2 linked regions of the Oryctolagus cuniculus genome follow. The main gene of each other region encodes a partner of the protein of the gene in region 2 in a complex. Links are inferred from orthologs where the notes say so. Each region holds a gene or a part of one and is shown on either strand. Other genes may lie near its edges.

What was found.
Region 1: the proteins of TFDP1 (region 2) and E2F5 are in contact, whole or in part, in a crystal structure (PDB 5TUV), measured with the Homo sapiens proteins. The link is inferred for Oryctolagus cuniculus from reciprocal best matches to the Homo sapiens genes TFDP1 and E2F5. Residues at the interface, in NP_009042.1 of Homo sapiens: Glu201, Cys202, Leu205, Glu208, Arg209, Arg212, Leu213, Arg215, Ile216, Lys219, Gln220, Leu223, Leu226, Ile227, Gln230, Phe233, Leu236, Val237, Arg239, Asn240, Arg241, Arg249, Pro253, Ser255, Val256, Ile257, His258, Leu259, Pro260, Phe261; in NP_001942.2 of Homo sapiens: Val126, Arg129, Leu130, Lys134, Glu136, Ile137, Leu140, Glu141, Glu144, Leu147, Asp148, Gln150, Lys151, Leu154, Gln155, Ser157, Ile158, Val161, Met162, Ile166, Asn167, Asn168, Arg169, Phe170, Ser171, Tyr172, Val173, Thr174, His175, Asp177.

The regions. Positions count from the first base shown.
Region 1 is NC_091437.1:110,691,302-110,701,087, reverse strand, and holds part of E2F5 (transcription factor E2F5), read right to left. Parts: intron 9,666-9,786; exon of another isoform or gene 8,964-9,665; coding exon of another isoform or gene 8,845-8,963; coding exon 8,683-8,844; intron 5,767-8,682; coding exon 5,723-5,766; intron 4,452-5,722; coding exon 4,387-4,451; intron 2,650-4,386; coding exon 2,382-2,649; intron 1-2,381.
Region 2 is NC_091440.1:496,956-507,275, reverse strand, and holds the start of TFDP1 (transcription factor Dp-1), read left to right. Parts: upstream 1-3,809; 5' UTR 3,810-3,891; intron 3,892-3,902; exon of another isoform or gene 3,903-4,041; intron 4,042-4,237; exon of another isoform or gene 4,238-4,261; intron 4,262-4,634; exon of another isoform or gene 4,635-4,656; intron 4,657-4,871; 5' UTR 4,872-4,932; coding exon 4,933-4,944; intron 4,945-10,320. UniProt on the Homo sapiens protein: Can stimulate E2F-dependent transcription.

The DNA of each region.
Region 1 (9,786 bases), on a different chromosome or scaffold from region 2:
ACTTTATTCATCCCAGTTAGACCTTAGATTATAGGTATTTTTTTTTATGAACATGTCCATTTTGTCCATTTATTAACAGCCATGTAGGCTTTTTAAAGAGCAGGGGAAAGGTGCGTTACCTCACTCCGGGGAACACTGACTATACGACAGAACCGATACTGGTGCCAATATGCCTCTCTAATCAGCTTGAAGGGCGTGTAGCTTTCCAGGTGGGCCTAATGGGCCTGGGCCACACTGGGGAGCAGTTTACCTGATTGGCAGAAGGCATGGATGGGGAGAAATGTGCTTGGGCTCAGGCTAACTGCTGGGGTTGCCCTAATCCCTCTTCTGTTTTAGGTGAGTATGACCCTGCTTAGCATGGCACAGCAACATGCTGCAACCCACAGTAAGCTTTGAGTTAAACTGAAGGGTACCTAGCACGGGGATTAAGGCAGGGAGGAAAAAGAGCAAAGGGAAAAATGGCCGGGCCCACCATGTTTCAGGCTTTTCTGACTGGCAGGTGGGTGAACAGGTGTGGTCAGGCAGGGTCATGAAATTGTAGAGGGCGCGGGGACGTGGTGAAGGCATCTTCCGGCTCACAAATCTGATCCTATACACCTGCCTAGAACATTCCCCTTTCAGACTCCATTCCCTTAATCCTAAGGGGTGATGGAGGGAGCAGAATCATCACGTCTTCTATAGCTGCTTCCTGCTTATGAGGGGCGTGGTGCAGGCCCTGCCTGTCTTGGGTCTGGAAGTCTCTCTGCCTGTCTCCTCTAACAAATTTGCCTTGTGAGCTGGAGTCCTTTCGGTCCCCTGCATGGCCAGTTACTCCTAGATGTTGAGTTCTGGGAAATAAAATTTGTTAATTAGCATGAGCTTTTTAAGGACTGAACTTTCTGTTGTGTACCCCTCTGCCTACAGCATGGAAATATTCCTAGGGAAAGGAAAGAAGGGAAGGGTATGGGCAACAAAGATCCATGTCCAGTTAAATCTTTTCAGCTTCATTTTTAACTACCGTGAACTCCCAGAGTAGCAGCAATGAAATACATTCCATAGGTAAAGATAAAGAATTTGGGGGCCAGCATGTGGTGTAGCAGGTAAAGCTGCCATCGGCAGTGCCTGCATCCCATAAGGGTACCGGTTTGAGTCCCGGCTGCTCCACTTCCGAACCAGCTCTCTGCTATGGCCTGAGAAATCAGTAGAAGATGACCCAAGTTCTTGGGCCCCTGCACCTGGGTATGAGACCAGGAAGAAGCTCCTGGCTCCTGGCTTTGGATCGGCACAGCTCCAGCCACTGTGGCAAACTGGGGAGTGAACCAGCAGATGGAAGACTCTCTGTGTCTGCCTCTGCCTCTCTATAACCCTGCCTTTCAAATGAATGAATAAGTAAATCTTAAAAAGAATTTGGAATATGTACTATACAGTTGTTAATGATCTGCAGTGTGTCATCTTTATTAACACCATCATTCATTCATTCATTCATTCACTCAGCAGTCGAAAGACTCTGTACCATGCTCCCTTTGTTTGGAATCAGTAAGGAGTTGCTAAATGCCAACCGTTGGAACCAGGAGAAATAATTGTGTGCCAATGAAACATTTATAAATTCAAGAATTGTGGTACCTACTCCGCATGCCCAATTTTTAGTGTTTTGATTATTTGTCATTTCATAGATGGAAATAATATAGGAAAGCAAGATATCCTAAATAATTGGAGTTGGGACCATTTATCCACTCATAAACTAAGTTTCTCAACAAAATATAACAAGGTAGGGAAAGAGGCATGAATTCTATACTTTTTTGTAAGGGCAGTTACAACAACACGTTTCAATCATTTATCCTATACTTATTACGAAATAAAAAAGCCTTAGAAAGGTGAACCTCAGATAAAAGCTAACATGTGAATAAGAAAGAAAAGGCAACAAATTTGACTTAGCTAACCAAGAAATAGAATCCTAAGGAAAACAGCCACCTTTGGCCCATAAACATCTTTCCCTTGCTAAGTATTCACTGTTTAACACACAGTCTCAGCCACGTTACCTTGTATCTGGTTATTTCTGATTTGTGTATTTCACAAATACACATACACACATATGGGGCAGCCTCAAAAAGTTCGTGATAATGAACCAAAAAGATGCATTTTCCATGAACTTTTGGAACCTCCTCTCACAAATACAAATCTACAGGATTGTAGATAGGATCTCTTAAAATCTTCCTCATATCTATCCCAGTGCTATAGACACTAGAGTAATACTGTTGAAAAAACATTGTACTATTTTGCCTCCTGTATTAGGTAACTGGATAGTATCACCAATGACAAGTTCAGGAAAGCTTTCCAACTCCCTTCACACAGGATTCATATATTTTCCCCTCTAATCTTTTAAACAAAGGACCTGAACCTACCTGAGGCTATGTCTGTAGCTGGTGTCTGCTGGAGACTCTGGCTTCTTTCAGAGGCAGGTTGCTCAGGCGGGTGCTGAGCTGCCACGGTGGATTTCTGTGGGGTCACTGGAGTGGAGGACTGGGAAGAAGGCTGTGTGAGGTCATCAGGTGGGGGAATGGGAAACACCACGGGCTTAGATGAATTGGATTCTTTATTTATAAGCAGCACGTGAATAGGTCCTGAATGACTCTTTAGATTGATCTGGTATTTCTTTTGTCCATTCTGACCCTTTGAAATTATTGGGTATAAACAAGAATAATTATTAACATTTCTAGCTACCTTGAAACATGAAAAACAAGATAGGCAAAGCTTTATTAAAGACTAAATTCACACGACAAAGTCATTAAGTCAAAATACAAGTGTAGAGACCAAGAGCAGAGTGGAATACTGTAGGGTCTACAGTATTCTAAAACATTTGCCCATAAATAGTAAGCTTGCCTCAAATTCTAATTATAAAAACTTTCAGCTGTAGAATCCTGGCAACTATCTGCTTTGTGTGTGCTCATGGCGCACTGCAAGTATTCTTTGTACATGAACTTCCATCCCTGGACTTGCCCATGGTGAGTGTGTTCATCTCAACATGCTGTCTTAATTTATAGCTACTTCACAAATCAAAACTCATTTCCATTCGGCAAGTACAAAGACAACTGACTTTTTCTACAGAGATGTAAGGATAAAACCCTTCCATTTCAAGAAAAGTAATTTGTGTCCTGGGGCTTTAGAATTTAGTGATATAAATAATAATGCCTAAATACAAACCAATAGGATGGGTGAGAGGTCAGATGATACAGTTATCTTTTTCCTTTTTTTTTTTTTTTTTTTTTGGTTGGTAGAGCTTTAAACTCAGTTTTGGGAACTACAAACCTAAACACTAAAATTATGACATATATAGCACAGAATTAGTAAAGGTCTTTAACTCAATAACCCAGAAAACATTTTTTAAAAGACCTAATTTAAAGCAATTACTTGTTGATATTTAAGTTGAACCTCTTCCTGTAGGATTTTTTTTTTTTAAAGATTTTTTTATTTATTTGAAAGGCAGAGTTACAGAGAGGCAGAGGCAGAGGCAGAGAGAGAGAGAAGTCTTCCAACCACTGGTTTACTCTCCAGATGGCTGCAATGGCCTGAGCTGGGCCGATACAAAACCAGGAGTCAGGAGCTTCTTCTGGGTCTCCCACACAGGTGCAGGGGCCCACGGACTTGGGTCATCTTCTACTGCTTTCCCAGGCCATAGCAGAGAGCTGGATTGGAAGCAGAGCAGTTAGGACACAAACCGGCGCCCATATGGGATGCCAACACTGCAGGCAGTGGCTTTACCTACTACATCACAGCGCCACAGTTGCAGCCCCAGGATTTTTTTTTTAACAGTTACAGATGTAGTCATTTTAATTGATTTTTAAAGATTATTGTAAACGTCATTACTCATCCCTTGATATCCTCTAGCCCTAATAAGGTCAAATTAAAAACAAAAACTTGGGGCCAGTGTTGTAGTGTAGCACATTAACCCACCACCTGCAACACCAATATGGAGTCCTGGCTGTTCCACTTACTATCCAACTCCCAGCAAATGCATCTGGGAAAGCAGCAGCAGATGGCCCATGTGCTTAAGCCCCTGCACCCATGTGGGAGACCTGGAAGAAGTTTCTGGCTTCTGCCTTTGGCCTGACCCAGCCCTGGCATTTGAAGCCATGTGGGGAGTGAACCAGCAGATGGAAGATCTATGTTTTTCCTTCTCTGTAACTGCCTTTCAAATAAAAATAAAACAAAAACTTGTAAAGAAAACATCAAATAGTACATTTATTCACTTCAATAATTCTACCAAAGTACAGGAGACAAATTCAGATATTAAAACTTTCAAATAATGTGCAGTAACTTAAAATTGTTTATAAATAAATAGCTCACATTGAGCTAAAGAAAGCATCTCTTGAGACCAACTATTTTTCCCATTGATACGGATTATCCTACCATTTCTGGAATAGGTACTTCCAGCTGCGTACCAGAAGGTGCCTGAATGGCCAAAAGTGTATCACCTAATCAAAAACACAAATATAAAATATATAGTAAATGCTATTGATCATGGAATACAGTGCCAAGAACATGGGCTCTGGAGTCAGAATGTTTGGGTCTAAAAACCAGGCTGGGTGACCTTAACTTTTAAATTCTGTAAGGGGGATACACGATTTACTGCACAGGCTCATTTTGAGGATTAAAGGAGATAACTTATTTTAATAGCTCTTAGGACACAGTAAATACTCAATGTTAGTTCTACTATTCTCATTCATAAACAGCTCAAGTTGATTTTGCTTTCAGTTTACCTCCTGTAAAAGCTATGGTTCTTTAAACTGTTTAGCCTCAATTAAATAATAATGTTTACTTGAAATATTTAAACCACTTAAATGATTTATGATACTGGAGATTAGGTGAGATAGCCTGAAATCTAGAGGGTAGGTGAATTTATTCTTGAAACCCATGCCTATAACAGATCTGTTGGGTTGCAGGTTAAAAAAACTTTCCTTCAACTTTCTTAGAAAGCTTGGGAATCACGGTGGAAAAATACAGCAGTGAGTTCACACATATTTCCAGCAGTCTTACCTGAAAAGCCAGACTACATTTGATAAGAGCTCTTGCCGGGATTTTTTTTTTTCTTTTCTTTTTTTTTTTTTGGTTATGGGGTTAAAACACAGGGCTGTCCTTTTACTAGAAGTATGCTTTATTAAATAAAAATGTGTGTAGGCTTTCATTTTACTTGTGTTATAATTACGAGAATTTATTCCACCCCCCTCATTTTTAAAATTAATACTGAACACTGTCACTTCAAGGGGAGAAAAATGAGGAAGGGGATGGAATAGGATTAGGAAGAACTTTCATGGTTATAAAAATCAGCCACCTAAATTTTCCCTATGTTTTGGATTGCACTATGGCCAACACACTTGGCGTATATGGTTGCAAAAATAGTGCTCCTGAAAGGCGTGCTCTGGTTAAGGACTGGCCACTGATTCTGGCTGTGAAGCTGTTGCTGAATCCTGCTCTGATTTCTCTTCCTCTCTGCTGCCTCTCCACCTTCCCCTCGCAAGCTCAATTTATGCCTACCAATACAGGTGATGAAATGAAAGCTGTCAAAGCAGTTGTTGTGATAAAAACAGAAACAAGAGTAGCTATCAATACACAGCACTGCAGAGTGAGACAAATGTCCACAACTCCTGAAAATAATGACTGAGGCTGAGGGTATGTGGAATCTGAATCACTCTATATTTAATAAGCTGATCAGAGGAAACATGAGAAAAAGTCTAACAGTACTTACCATTAAAGCAATTACAGATGTCTTCATGAGTTACATAGGAAAATGTACTGTCATAGGAGTTAAGGAATAGCATTTGTATCAAGGTCTATGCATTTAAATTAAGGTAATATATCTGAAGGCCAAAAATAACTAAATAGCCAAATGCATGAAGGGGCTACACATGCCCAGTTTAAAAAAACAAAAAGCAAAAGCAATCAAAGATCCCTAGGAGGAATACTGAACCTCTGCTCTGAAAAGAAGCCATTCTGATTGCCGTGATACCTTCAGACCCTTGGGAGAGAGGGAAAACAGTGCATTCCTCATGGAGGCATGGGCTTCTGGAGAGAAGTGATGGACAGGGGAGAAAGAGGCCATCAGCAGGAGTGGACAGCAATGACCTTCCACACTGAGCATCTTCTTGGGTCACTGTTTTGTGTTGTTTTACAATATGCTCAGAGTGGTACAGCTATGGAGAGGCTCAGGAAAACAATACTCACTGGTCCTGCAGACAGAAGGGATGCAGGCCACACATGAAAGACACCAGAGTGGGCACAAGGCAGAAGACAGGAGTCAGGGAAAGCATTAAGCCAAAACCCAACTGGGGTTTCCATGGAAGAAAACAAGGCAGAGTAGGGTGAACACTTCAGAACTGATTGATTTGAATGGTTTTGGTGGGTTCTAAGCTTCAGGAATGGGTTCTGTCTGGTATCTGGCCATGGGCTGATTAAGGCAGAGAAATACTGCTTCCTGGGTGTAAGGGCACAGAGAGGAGCATGGCTCTGGAATGGTTACGCTGTGTATCGAAGACCTGCTGCTAGCTGGACCTTTGATACTTCCAAAGAATTGGCTACCCCAGGGGGCAGGCTCTCCCCAGCCAGAAAGGTGTTATGAGATTTCAGAGCATAATACACAGAAAACTGTGTGTGTATGCGCTAATATACAGAAAACTAAGTGTGTGTGTGTGTACGCGTATGTGTGTGCATAAAACATACACAAGGTATCTTCAAAAAATTCATGGAAAGTGCACATGATTAATTATGTATGGATTTCTATTTTTTTGCGCCAAAATAAACACCTTTTAATTCCATATTTCTAAGAACTTTTTTAAAATTTTTTTTTAATTTTTTTTATTTTTTTTTGACAGGCAGAGTGGACAGTGAGAGAGACAGACAGAGAGAAAGGTCTTCCTTTGCCATTGGTTCACCCTCCAATGGCCGCCACGGCCGGCGCACTGCGGCCGGCGCACCGCGCTGATCCGATGGCAGGAGCCAGGAGCCAGGTGCTTTTCCTGGTCTCCCATGGGGTGCAGGGCCCAAGCACCTGGGCCATCCTCCACTGCACTCCTTGGCTACAGCAGAGAGCTGGCCTGGAAGAGGGGCAACCGGGACAGAATCCGGCGCCCCAACCGGGACTAGAACCCGGTGTGCCGGCGCCGCAAGGCGGAGGATTAGCCTAGTGAGCCGCGGCACCGGCCTTCTAAGAACTTTTTAAAGGTCCCTGTGTGTGTTGTGTGTACCATTAAGATTTGGGGAACTGGGAATGGCCAGAATCCTGTAACGCTGAGCAGCACAGTCTAAGTCAGCTAGTTCAGGGTTTTTGAATCTTGGGGCACTACAGGCCACAGCTTGAAAATCTACATGGTTCTCAAACTGTTAGGAAGCTTCGAGCCATAAAAAAGGGATTAGGAACTAACTTACCAAATCCATGACAACATGAAAAACACAATATTGTATATGTTGGTCAAAAATTCATGAGAAATGGTACAAGATAAAATGTGGTTAAAGTCTCCATAAGAATGAAAGGGGCTGGCGTTGTGGAGTAACAGGTTAAGCCTGCAATGCCAACATCCCATATGGGCGCTGGCTGCAGTAAACTGCTGCTGCTCCACTTCTGATCCAGCTCCCTGCTAATGGCCTAGGAAACCAGCAGAGGATGGCCCAGGGACTTAGGCCCCTTCACTCACATGGGATACTCAGAAGAGGCTCCTGGCTCCTGGCTTCAGATCATCCCAACTCTGGCCATTGCAGCCAGATTTATTTATTTATTTGAAAGGCAGAGTTACAGAGAGAGAAAGAGAGAAGTCTTCCATCCACTGGTTCACTCCCTAAATGGCCGCAATGGCGAGAGCTGGGCCAATAGGAAGCCAAGAGCTTCTTCCTGGTCTCCCATGCGGGTGCAAGGGCACAGGGACTTTGGCCCTCTTCTACTGCTTTCCTAGGCCACAGCAGAGAGCTAGATTGGAAGTGGAACAGCTGGGACTCGAACTGGCACCCATATGGAATGCCGCCACTGCAGGTGGCAGCTTTATCCACTACACCACAGTGCCAGACCCAGAAATAAATCTTAAAAAAAAAAAGTCAAAGTGAATTCATAAACCAAAAGAATTACAAGTATCTAAAAGAACAGAATGGTTTAGAAGAAACCCAAGGAGTATCAGTGTTTTTCCCTAATATAATGTGATACATATGCAAGCCGTGGTCTCCTGCAGTCCAGGAGAAGCTATCTTTAGGCTAATATGGACAAAAAGCACCTGTGATTGACACTGAACCCATAGTATTTCCTCTTAAAACCAAAACTGATTTTTCAAACTTTGAAAGTTGCTGTTTTTACTATTTCAGAACATTCAACATGATTCTTTAAAAATGCCCATGCACTTAACAATGACTTCTAACAATCACAGACCCCCCCCCAAACACTCTTTGGTTAGCATATTGCATCATACCAATGGGTAGACTGAAGGTATATTAATCGTTTTTTCCCCTCAAATGAAACATGAGACTTAATGAAAAAAAAATAGGTAAAATATTCTTATAAATTACTAAAAGTATTATGAAATTGAAATGTTATATTCATTTACAACACTTAACTCTTTAGAATCACTAGAATAAAGTAACTGAGTTTCAGATCGGAAGATATATTATAAATATATATATACCCTATAGCTATATGTACATGTGTAACTAGTTTATTTAAAAGGATATCTATTATTAATGGAGTCATCCATCACATTTTTGATGCTTTGCTGCAGCCACAACTTCTGCTGATCAAGTTCTCTTTCCTTCAGTTCTAAATCTTCAATTTCAGCTTTAAGAAATCTCAATCTATCTATGACTTCTTTAGTATTACAGCCAGCACCTACACCTCTTAAAAACATATGAAAATTGATATCCTCCAAATCAGATCCATTTGCATCACTTAATCTCTGTATAACTGACTTATGCAGTAACATATGAGGCAAAAATCTATATTTTTCTAAAGACATTACAATTCTCACAAAATTTAAACATGATAATTTCTGGATATATTTGCTTACAAAATGTATTGACAACAAACAAATTACAAAAGTTCACAACCTGCTCTAGAGTGCTTTTTGTCACCTGGAGGATCAGCCTGGTGACTCAGGTGCCAAAAGGATGTCAGAGTGATAGGGTCACACCTAGCAGATAAGAGTCTGAGATCCTCATAAAATACATTACAACCTTTCAGCATTTTGGTGAAATTGTGGCTAAAAATAAAGTACTTGGCACATTCAAATATACAACCATGCAACAGTTAATAAATTACGGCTCGCATTTCACTCAATTATTATTTAAGGTACACATTTCCATGTGTAAGACAGTTCTTACTGTCAGGAGTTTCTATCTGTAGGGTGAAAAGTTATTCAGGGGTTTATAATACAAAGCAGTATGTATATGGTGTACGCCAAATGAGTAGCCTGAGGGAGAAAATAAGATCTGAACTTTTTTTTTAAGTTTTATTTTTATTTATTTGAAAGACAGTTATAGAAAGAGAGAAAGAGGGAGGTCTTCCATCCAATGGTTCACTCTCCAAATGGCTCCAATGGCCAGAGCTGAGTTGATCCAATGCCAGGAACCAGGAGCTTCTTTTGGGTCTCCCATGTGGGTGCAGGGGCCCAAGCACTTGGGCCATCTTCCACTGCTTTCCCAAGCCTAATAGCAGGGAGCTGGATTGAAAGTGGAGCAGCCAGGACTTGAACCAGCACCCATATTGGGATGCTAGTGCCACAGCGCTAGCCCCAAGATCTGAAATTTAAGAGTTTAAATTAGGGGCCTGGGTTGTGGAAT
Region 2 (10,320 bases):
AAAGGCGAATCTGGCTTCTGACAAAGACCCCAGTCCCATTTCAGCTCCATCCTGAGACCCAGTCACCACAGTGACCCCGCCCACTAACACGGCTCTTGTGGGGTCAGCGTGGAACATTGGGGACACTCATGTGCACCCCACTGTGGCTAGTGGAGTTCGTTTCCTGAGCTGGGGACTGCGGGGCCGGGGACAGCTGGCCCAAGGCAGTCATGAGTTCATGAGCCAGGAGCAGCCAGGCCGAGAGGCCTCAGGATTAGCCGATGGCCTGGTTCCACTCATGAGAGTCACCCTCGTCAATGTTCCCACCGTTACCTTCGTGTTCTCGTCATGGACGGGCAAACCCAGGTCTGGAGGAAATCCACTCTGTATCAGAGGAGAGCATTGTTTTAAATCTGAGAGGCAAAGGCGGGGGTGGGGCGGCCACCCACTCGGCCAGTCCCGAATATCCACAGGGACCGGGGCTGAACCCGTTTCCCACGTGGGTGGCAGGGCCGATGCCTTAGCAGGAAGCTGCCTGCCGTCGGGATCTGAACCCAGCACTCTGGCGTGGGTCGGGGGCTTCCTAACTGGTGAGGTAACTGGAGGGGAGGGTCGAGCAGCTCGCCCTGAGTGGCGCGGTAGGTGGGTTTGTGTGAGGAGCTGGACTTGAGTGAAATCACGTGGGTCCCACTGCCCATCTTCCCTCCCAGACGCGCGCGTCCCTCACCGTGGCTGCGCCTGCCTCTCCCAGGAGCTGCCAGGCCATCTTCCTTCCCCGCCCCCACAGGGCACTCCCACCTCCTCTCTGCTTTCCTGGAGCCCAGGCCCTGGCCTCTGCCCCACCTGCTGACTGCCTCACTGCTAACCCACTTAGCCACTCCCTTCCTCTTCAGCCAGGGGCCCAGCAGAGGGGGCCGAGGGCCTGCAGGAAGCCAGCACCGCCCCAGGCCCAGGAGGCTGCACACCTGAGGGCTGTGCATGGAGACCAGGCCGGAAGAGGGCAGGGCGGCCTTCCCCACCCCCTTCTCCCGTCCTCTGACCTCCCCGTCGTCTGACCCCAAGTGGCCAGCATCCCCTGAGGGTGCTGTCCCCGGAGGTCGGGCCCCCGTGGAGGGAGGGCAGAGCCAGAGAGAAGGGAGGGGTGGGGTCCTCAGCACCTCCTCGGGCACAGCATGGGTCCGCCTGGAGCTTTCTCCCGTGGGCGCCAGGCCCAGGTGCTCCCCCGTGACAGGTGCTCGGAGCTCGTCCTGCACACCAGGAGCTCCCTGTCCACCACGCCTGCTGCCTCCCGTCCTCAGCATGGCCTCATGCACCCTCAGCGCACCAGTGAAGTGAGCCAGCACCTCTGGCTCGGGAAACTGCTCTGCTCCCTGCTGGCGTGACAGGAATCACCTCTCCGGTGGAAGCCCCAGGGCCCAAGCGAGGGCACTGGAGGGTGCTGGGCCGATTGGAGGCTCCAGCTGGGCCTAGCGTCCACAGTGCTGGCGGCCCTGGCAGGGGTGGCCTGTGTCACTCCCAGCCGGCACCTCACCCAGCCCTGCTGCAGTGGGCACTCTCCAGTGTGCCCAGGCCCGCGCCTTCTGGCCCACGTCCTCGCTCGCTCACTCTCTCAGGAGCCGGGAGCCCTGCAGGGCAGGCAGACCCGAGAGCGTGTGGGAGAGGAGCGCCTGTCACTTTCGTCTGGTAAAACGCAGAGCCCAGCATTTCTGAGCCGTGGCCGGCACCCTCAGCCGGCATGGTGCCCGTGTGCACCCAGGGCTGGACACCAGCCCCTGGGATGGGATGGCTCAACAGCGACTACGGCTCTCGCCGAGACCAGGCCTCCTGCACGGCCAGGCTCAGAGACGCAGTGTGCCCAGGGGTCAGCTCACCGCAGGGCGTGGGGTCGGCCTGCTCAAGGCTGCATCCCGGGCCCTGTAAGACATCTGCACCCGCCACCCAGAATGAGGGAGCTGCCGCCGACTGTTAGCGAGAGGCAGGCTCCCTGGCGGCTGGGTGTCCTCGAGGAGCTGCCGCTGCTGTGGGGCCCCTGGAGTCCAGCGTGGGTCACCCCGGCCTGTGGGCTCGGGAAGCTTGCTGTCCAGGCCGCTCCACGAGGCTGGGAGGGGGCTCGCTGCTGCTGAGAGTCCCTAACCCGAGTTTAGGGAAAAATAAGATCCTACAAAAGGAAGAGCGAGGGAAAGGAAGAGCGAGGAACACGCACGGCTTTTGAGGACAGAATGCAGGAGACACACTTGCAAATCGGGACTGGCGGGCGGCGGCGCGATCCCACTGCACGGAACACAGGCTTTCCCGGGACAGGAGGATTTTAGGGTTTTGATCTTAGAGGCGGGGGGACGGAGGGAGAGCGGGAGGGACTGCCCCACCCCTGGCTCACTCCCAGATGCCCACGTGGCTGTGCACCAGCCTAGCAGGGCACTCACGTGGGTGGTGGGCACCCAGCTCCTGGGCTCTCAGCACTGCCGCCCACGACTGGAGTCAGGAGCTGTCTTATTCTACTTATCTCTTTGAAAGGCAGAGGGAGAAGGAGTGTGCGAGACAGAGATCTTCAGTCTGCCCACAACAGCCAGGGCTGGGCCAGGCAGAAGCCAGGAACCAAGAACTCCATCCAGGTCCCCCATGTGGTGGCAGAGACCCAGGTACTTGAGCCATCACCTGCTGCCTCCAAGGGTGCAGATTAGGGGTCAGAGGCAGAGCTGGGCCTTGAAGCCCTGTGGGGTTCAGGTGACATGATCAGTGTCCTCATCCCTGGGCCAAACACCGCTCCCCCCAGCCCCATCAACCTTCTCTAAGGACCTACTGTGTGCTAACCAGACAGGAAGGTTTCTGCCACAAAGAAACCGAACTGCTGGCACAGAGGACAGGCTGCCAGGGTGGGGCTCTCCTGGGCAGGAGTGGGTGCAGTGGGTGTGGATGGGGTGGGACTTGGAGGTGTGCAGAGGGGTGCAGGGTGGGAGAGCCCTTGTTATGGCTGTGTGGGACTCCGTGCAGCCTGGGCTCGGGACCGGCCTCCACAGCCTGCCGCCAGCCCTAGGTGACAGCTGTGTCTGCAGGGCAGGGCCCAGTTCCACTCTCCGTGGAAAGGCTGCCTGCCCTGGCGCCCAGGAGGTGTGGAGTCGCTGGGACTCTGTGAGGAAGCCGCCGGGATGCGGAGCAGGGCTGGAGACCTCCCCTCCCCTCCCCTCCCTGCCCAGACACCTGCGCCAGCTCAGCGCCTGCCTCCACCCCTGCATCCATGCAAACCAACGCGCCCAGGACCCTGGTCTGTGCGGCACCCTCGCGCTTGGCTTGCCTCCATCTGCTACTCCTCCACGTGCACACTTGCACCTGACCCCTTCTCCTCCCTGTGCACACGCACTGGTGTACACAGCAGCCCCAGCCCCATGCACACAGGCGAGCACACAACTGGCCCCCTTTTCCATGCACACAGCAAGTGCTCTTGGCCTCCTGCCCTGCAGGTGCCTCCTCTCCACCCCCTACACCCATGTCTCGCCTCCAGCTCTGCCCCCCACCCCGGCCCCCTTGCAGCTCTGTGTGCGCACACACAGCTTGGGTCTCCTCCCACAGTCTCGCTCCGTGCATACACACACACACACACACACACACACACACACTCATGCGCGCACACACGTGGCCCCTCTGACCCGCGCGCGCATCCCTAGCGCCGGCTGGCTCCATCCCGTCCGGCGCACGCGCAGGCTCGAACACGCGCGCACGGCCCTCCCCTCCCCCAGGGCGGCAGCGCCGGCGGGAGGAGCGGGAGCAGGAGGGGCGGAGGAGGAGGAGGGCGCCGAGGAGGAGGAGGGCTCCGAAGGCGCGAAAATGCGCGCAGGCGCGCTGCGCGGAGCGGGCCCGCCGCCGCCCACGTCACCGCGCCGCGCGCACGTCACGCCGGCCCGACGCTCGGCCAGGGTGAGCCCCGCGTCCCGGCGCCGCTGGCCCAGGGCAGGGACCCCGCCAGGGCCGGGAGCGCCGCCCGGCCCCCGCCGCCCGCCCGCGCCCCGCGGCCGTGTCCCCGCGCGGCCCGCGCCCCAGACTGCGCGGCCATACCGGGCGAGCCAGGTGCGGGCGGCGGAGGATGCGGTGGGAGCCGGCGCGACGGGGCCGGGCGAGCGCGGGGCGCGGGCCACGCGGGGCGCGGGCGGGCGGCGGCCCCCGAGCTGCGTCCCCGCCGCGTGCGGGCGCCGCGCGGCCCCGGCCCTCCCGCGCCCTCCGGGCCCCGCGCGCTCCTGGGCGCCGGGGCCCCGCGCCAGGCGCCCTTGCTGCGGGCGGGGGCTCCCAGGTGACCGGGCGGGGCGGGCGGGGGTACGGGGCCTGGCCTCCGGGGCCGATGGCCGCGCCCGCGCCTTGGGGGTCGGGGTCGGGGTCGGGGCCGGGCCGCGCGGGGCGGGGCGGGAGGCGCCGCGGGGCTGGAGTGCGCGCGGTGGCTGCGGCCTAGTGACAGATCGCAGCGGGCGGGGACCCGAGAGCCCACCTGTCAGAGTTACCGGTCGGCGGCCGAGCAGCCCGGCGCGCAGCCCCTGGAGGGTCCGGGGGAAGACCTGGGAACTTGCACGTTTGGGCTGTGCCCTGTTGGGTGGTCGTGTGCGCCTAAGTGGGGGACCCAAGCCCACCCTGCGGAGGCGGGCAGCGCGCCCCGGGCTCACCGCGGTCTCGCCTCCGGACCGGCCATTTGGGGTGCGCGGGGCGGGGGGGTTCCGGGCTGCTCGCGGGGTCTGAGGGTGGCGAGCGCTGCGAGAGCCTTGCGTCCAGGCTCTAGCGAGAAATCTCAGCCGCCAGGCCCTCGTGCAGGCGGGGGAGACGTCTCCTTTAAAGTGGGACATCTTGTAAACTTAGTTTTTCATCCTTGCTCATTTTTCTTTTTTCTCTCTCTTTTTTTTTTTTTTAACCAGAAAAGTCTTTTCTTCCTTGGAGAGTGAATGTTGATAGCATTGGTTTCCTGGACCTGGTAACATGGCAAAAGATGTGAGTACCTTTGCTTAATGCTCAAACACCTGTGCCTGGCACCAGCCCCTCCTGTTTGTGCCTTTGTCAGAGGGGCAAAACCTGAGTTATTAGTATTTCCTGGCTTTTTAAGAGAGGTTGGTTTGTTTATTTGGAAGGGTGAGAGACAGAGGGAGAGCTTCCATTAGCCGGTTCACTCCCCAGATGGCCATATGGCCACATAGCCACATCTGGGTCGGGCCAAAGCCAACAGTTTCATCTGGGTCTCCCAGCCTGATGACAGAGGCCCAGGCAGTTGGGCCATCTTCTGCCCTCCCAGGCGCATTAGCAGGAAGCTGGAGCAGAAGCAGAGCAGCCGGGACTTGAACTGGTGCTCCTATGGGATGCTGGCATTGCAGGTGCCCACTGAACCCTCTGCGTGCCACAATACCATCCCCTTCTCGGTAACTTTTTAAAGTTGGGTGGAGAAATAGGCTCTTAGGTCCAAGAATGAACTGAGTTTCCCATCATGCCGTCAGATTCCCTGAAACGCGGGGTCTTTGCACACTGGTGCAGACGGGCTGCGTGCTCGTCTCCTGCATAGAGCTGGAAGCAGGCTGGTCCTGCTGCCTCTGTGCGCGACTGCAGGTTGGGTGGCTTTGGAGCGCCTTCTGTCAGCTCAGATTTCCCGAACTTCCTGAGCCGCGTCCTCTGTCTGTGCCGGTCAGGGGCTCCCTGTCCTCGGATGCAGGCCTGCGCAGGGAGGCGCGCAGCCCTCCGGGCGCTGTGTGCAGGGTTTTGGTTTGATGTTCATTTTAAAACTGCTGTCATTTGGTTGGTGCCATCACTCCTGGAGGTGCCAACATGTGGCAGGTGCCCCGAAGCAGCTGGACTCCCACAGTTGCCCAGAAAGGGTGGTGCCAGACCCATGCCCAGCCGCATGCTTCTGGTTTCTGGACCAGTTTGCTCTCGTCTCTTTAAATGCTTAGATACTCACTGATGTCATCTTCGAAGCCCTTTGTGGTTCCACGTTGGTGTGGCTGGCACCGTCTGTGTGGCACGGAGAGAGGCGTGGGAGGGAAGGACAGACAGGTGCTGGAGGAGGGGGACCCCGCCACCCCAGCAAGGTCGCCGGGCCAGGGCACGGGCTGTGCTGGCCCCCTAGCTGGTCATCGTTGCATTTGAAGGACTCGGAGTGTGTGCTGTTGGGAGGTGGCAGGGTCTCACGGGCTGAGGAGTGGCTGTGGGGCAGACTGGCAAGGTGGCCTCCGTGTTCTACAGACAAGGGCTGTGCTGGTCCCGTGGCTGGTGACGCTGCTTTCTTGTCATCCACGTGCTCTTAGGCGGTGGCAGGGTCTCACGGGCTGAGATGCAGCTGGCAGGGCAGAATGGCAGGGTGGCCTCCGTGTTCTGCAGACAAGAAGTCAGGGTGTCGGGGACAAGCTGGAAATGGAGGCTGTGGGCAGGTGATGCTGGAGGGTGGATGGGCGACCAGCAAGGGTGAGGGCCCGTGGGGGGCCAGTGGCTGTGTTGTGCACAGGTTGCCTGATGAGGTTGTTGCAGAGTGGGCCCTCTGGTGTGAATTGAGGGGCCCAGAGCCCGCTGGGGGCCCCTAAGCTAGTTTTTGGTGCCCCCTGCTCATCTCATGCGGTGATTTCTGCGGTCATGAGCAGCTTCTGATCGCACAGGCCTCTGTGTGGCCTCTGGGGTGTGTGTGAGGAACGATGGTCTCTGTTCGTCCTCGTCATCCTGTGAGCCCTTTCTGGGCCCGTGGGCCGGGAGGGTGCGTGCTGGCCACAGCCTGTGGTGGCTGCTCCGGGGTGACGGGTACATCAGGGCCGACAGGAAGGAGATGCACTTGGCACCTGCAGGGCTGCCTGAGGGGCTGGCACAGGACTGGGCAGATGGCACTCGACCTGTCTCTTCTCTCGTGGGTATGCATCTTGTGCCCTCTTTTCTGGTTCTTAAATACAAATACGTGCCTATGTGAAAGGAATCTGGTGAAAACCTTGCCGTTGTCTTGTAATAAACACGGAGCTCTGTGACTCCCAGCCGTGTCTGCACACAGCCCTGTGTGTGACGGTTGCAGGTACCCGCATCAGGGTACTTCTCTTGTGAGCTGTCTGTGTGCCCCTCACCCAGGTGCAGTTAAGCAGGCCGCTCCCTGGGCTGTCGCGTTGTGGAGCGATTCCGGTGCTTGGAGATCCTTGTGGCTCTGAGAATGCAAGGGAAATGGGTGCGGGGGTGCAGGGAGGGGAGGGAGGGTGTCAGGGACGCGTCCCTTCCTGTGAGGCGCCGTGTCTGTGCTGGGCCCTGCCTCCCTGGGTTTTGCCTCTGACATTCATTTATGGAGTAGCACTGACACATGTCCCAGGGAGGTGCCCTGTGTGGAGGGGGACTTGGAAGAGAGACACAGCAGCCCCCACAGTGAAGTGACGGAGACCCGAGTCTCATTTCGCCCCAGAAATTGAACAGGAGGGAGTCGCCTTCTGCTATGGGCATTTGGGGCAGGAATTTCCATGTTAGGGGAACCGTTCATTCCCAAGCCTGCGTAGTGACAGCAGGGGCCTGGGTCAGCCCTTCCTTTCCTCTGTGTTCACGCTGGGGGTCCACGCGGCCTGAGCAAGTTCCCAAGCTGTCACCCTAAAGGGTCTGCCCAGCTGCTCACCAGGGGGGCAGCAGGTGCTTGGACCGTTCCCCAGAGCACACTGCAGAGGGGCTGGGAGCAGCGGAGGCACCTGGCCCGGGAGGGGCCTTGGGTGGGGCCGTGGCAGGGAAAGGTGAGGGCTCTCTCTGGAGGTCACAGCCCATGCTTCCTGCCCCCGGAGGAGTGAGCCCTTGGAGGGGCCAGGCATGGGCCTCCCTCCCTGCTGCCCCTCTGGCGAGGCTGTGTTCTCAGCACTCGGCTGGCCTCAGGAAAGTCTGCAGGTGGAGAGGGAGGATACACGTGAATGTGCATTGTGGGGCTGTGTCAGGGTGCTGCCCCACCCCTCAGCCTGTGTGTGCCCCAACAAAGCCATGCTGTGCGCTGAGAGCCATCTGTCCAGCGGTCTGCAGGCTCTGCGGGTTTGGAGTCCTCTGCGGGTGGGAAGAGTTCGGAAGACATTGTATCAGAACTGAACAGGTACAGGTTTCCCCATTGTTACTTCCTAAACAATACAATATGAGGAGCGCCCTCCCAGGGCGTTTACATTGTATTAGATTCTCTGTACCTGGAGGGCCTGTGGGCGCCTTTGCAAGTTCTCCACAGCTCTTACAGCCGGGACTTGGGCATTGTGGGTTTTGAGCTCCACTGGGGCCCTGGAACCAACCCCGGTGGATGCTGGGGGATGATGCTGGCCCAGGGCAGAGCCGGACTATGTGGGTCCCTCTCAGCACCCGTGTCTCATTTCTGGAGGCCGCTTTGTGATGCCGGTTTCCGCCCCGGGAGTTTACGGGACAATCCCTCCATAGTGATGTTGGAAGCTGGAGACCCGAGAGACGCAGCCGGGTTCTCTGCTGAGGCCTGGGTCCCTGCCTGCGACTGCTGGGGAGCAGGGACCGCCCCCTTCAGGCTTGGAGGAGGTGAGTTCCGGAGACAAATGCCAATTCATGATCCCAGCCTTAGAGGAGAGGGCTTTGTGTGTGAGGTGCGGGGCAGTGAGGTCAGCTGCTGGGCTCAGCGTGGGAGAAGTCTCCCAGGGCGCTTGTTCTTAGACAGCTTTTCATGTTGCAGAATTCGTGTTTTCTTTTTCTTTATTTTTGTAAAAAAGATTTATTTATTTATTTGAATGGCAGAGTTTACAGAGAGAGAGAGAAAGGTCTTCCATCTGCTGGTTCAAGCCCCAATTGGCTGCAATGGCCAGAGCTGGGCCAGTCCAAAGCCAGGAGCGAGGAGCTCTTGTGTGGGTCTCCCACATGGGTGCAGGAGCCCAAATATATGGGTCATCTTCCACTGCTGTCCGGCCATTAGCAGGGAGCTGGATGGGCCGAGACAGGAACCTGCGCCCATGCAGGATGCTGGTGTCTCGGGCAGTGGCTTTACTCACTGCACCACATCACTGGCTCCTGAATTGAGCATTCTACATGGGTGAGCTTGGAGAAACTGAGCCGATATTAAAAATTAGAAAAACCACAGCTTAATTAGAAGTGTTTCCCCATAACGTTTTTTTTTTTTTTTAAAGAGTTATTCATTTATTTGAAAGAGTTACAGAGAGATCTTTCATCTGCTGGTTCATTCCCTAGCTGGCTGCCACAGCCAGGGCCAGGCCAGAGCCAAGAGCCAGGAGTTTTTTCTTAGTCTCCCACATGGATACAGGGGCTCAAGCACTTGGTCCATCTTCTGCTGCTTTCCCAGGTGCATTAGCAGGGAGCTGGATTGGAAGGGGAGCAGCCAGAACTCGAACTGGTGCCCACGAGGGCTGCCAGTGTCACAGGCGGTGGCCCCCGCATCCTGTTTTTTTTTTTTTTTTTTTTTTTTGACAGGCAGAGTGGACAGTGAGAGAGAGAGACAGAGAGAAAGGTCTTCCTTTGCCGTTGGTTCACCCTCCAATGGCCGCCGCGGCTGATCCGATGGCAGGAGCCAGGAGCCAGGTGCTTTTCCTGGTCTCCCATGGGGTGCAGGGCCCAAGCACCTGGGCCATCCTCCACTGCACTCCCGGGCCACAGTAGAGAGCTGGCCTGGAAGAGGGGCAACCGGGACAGAATCCGGCGCCCCGACCGGGACTAGAACCCGGTGTGCCGGCGCCGCTAGGCGGAGGATTAGCCTAGTGAGCCGCGGCGCTGGCCCCGCATCCTGTTTTACAGGTGTTGTGTGAACACCTAGCCCGAGGTTGCTGAGGTGAAGGTGTCTCTTCTGTAGCTTGGGTGTTGGAGGCAGGGTCCCCCGAGTTGGCCCTGAAGCCCCGAGGGGACCCGCAGCCCCTGCCAGGCACTCTTGGCATGAAGTGTTCCTCACCTGGGCACCTGCTTAGGATAGCTCCTCCCTGCTGGGACTTTAAAAAGTGTTTTTCACTGTAGAGCACTCAGTGCATGTGTGGAGTTGGTACTTGGCTCAGCCTTCAGCATGGTTCTATGCTGTGTTACGAGGACTGGTGCTTCCCACGTTGTGCTCAGAGAACCGACAGCTGTGGCTGAGCATGCACAGGGCTTTGGGGTCAACTGAGGTAGAGGTCGAATCCGATGACCCCTGCCTCCAGGTGGTCCTGGGTTACCAAGGTGTTGGCCACAGCTGCTGCCTCTTGTGGGTGTCGTGCCCAGCACAGGGCCCAGTGCAGCCCTCCCGTAAGGAGTGTACCTTTGAGGCTGCTGCAGAGCTGGTCTCGTCCTTGGGGCTCCGGTGCAGGTGTGGTGGTTCTGGGTCCCTGCCGGGTGTGGCACAGGCAGCCCTGGGGCTCCCGGGTGAGTCGTGGCTTCTGCCCCTTCTGTCAGAGTCCCTTA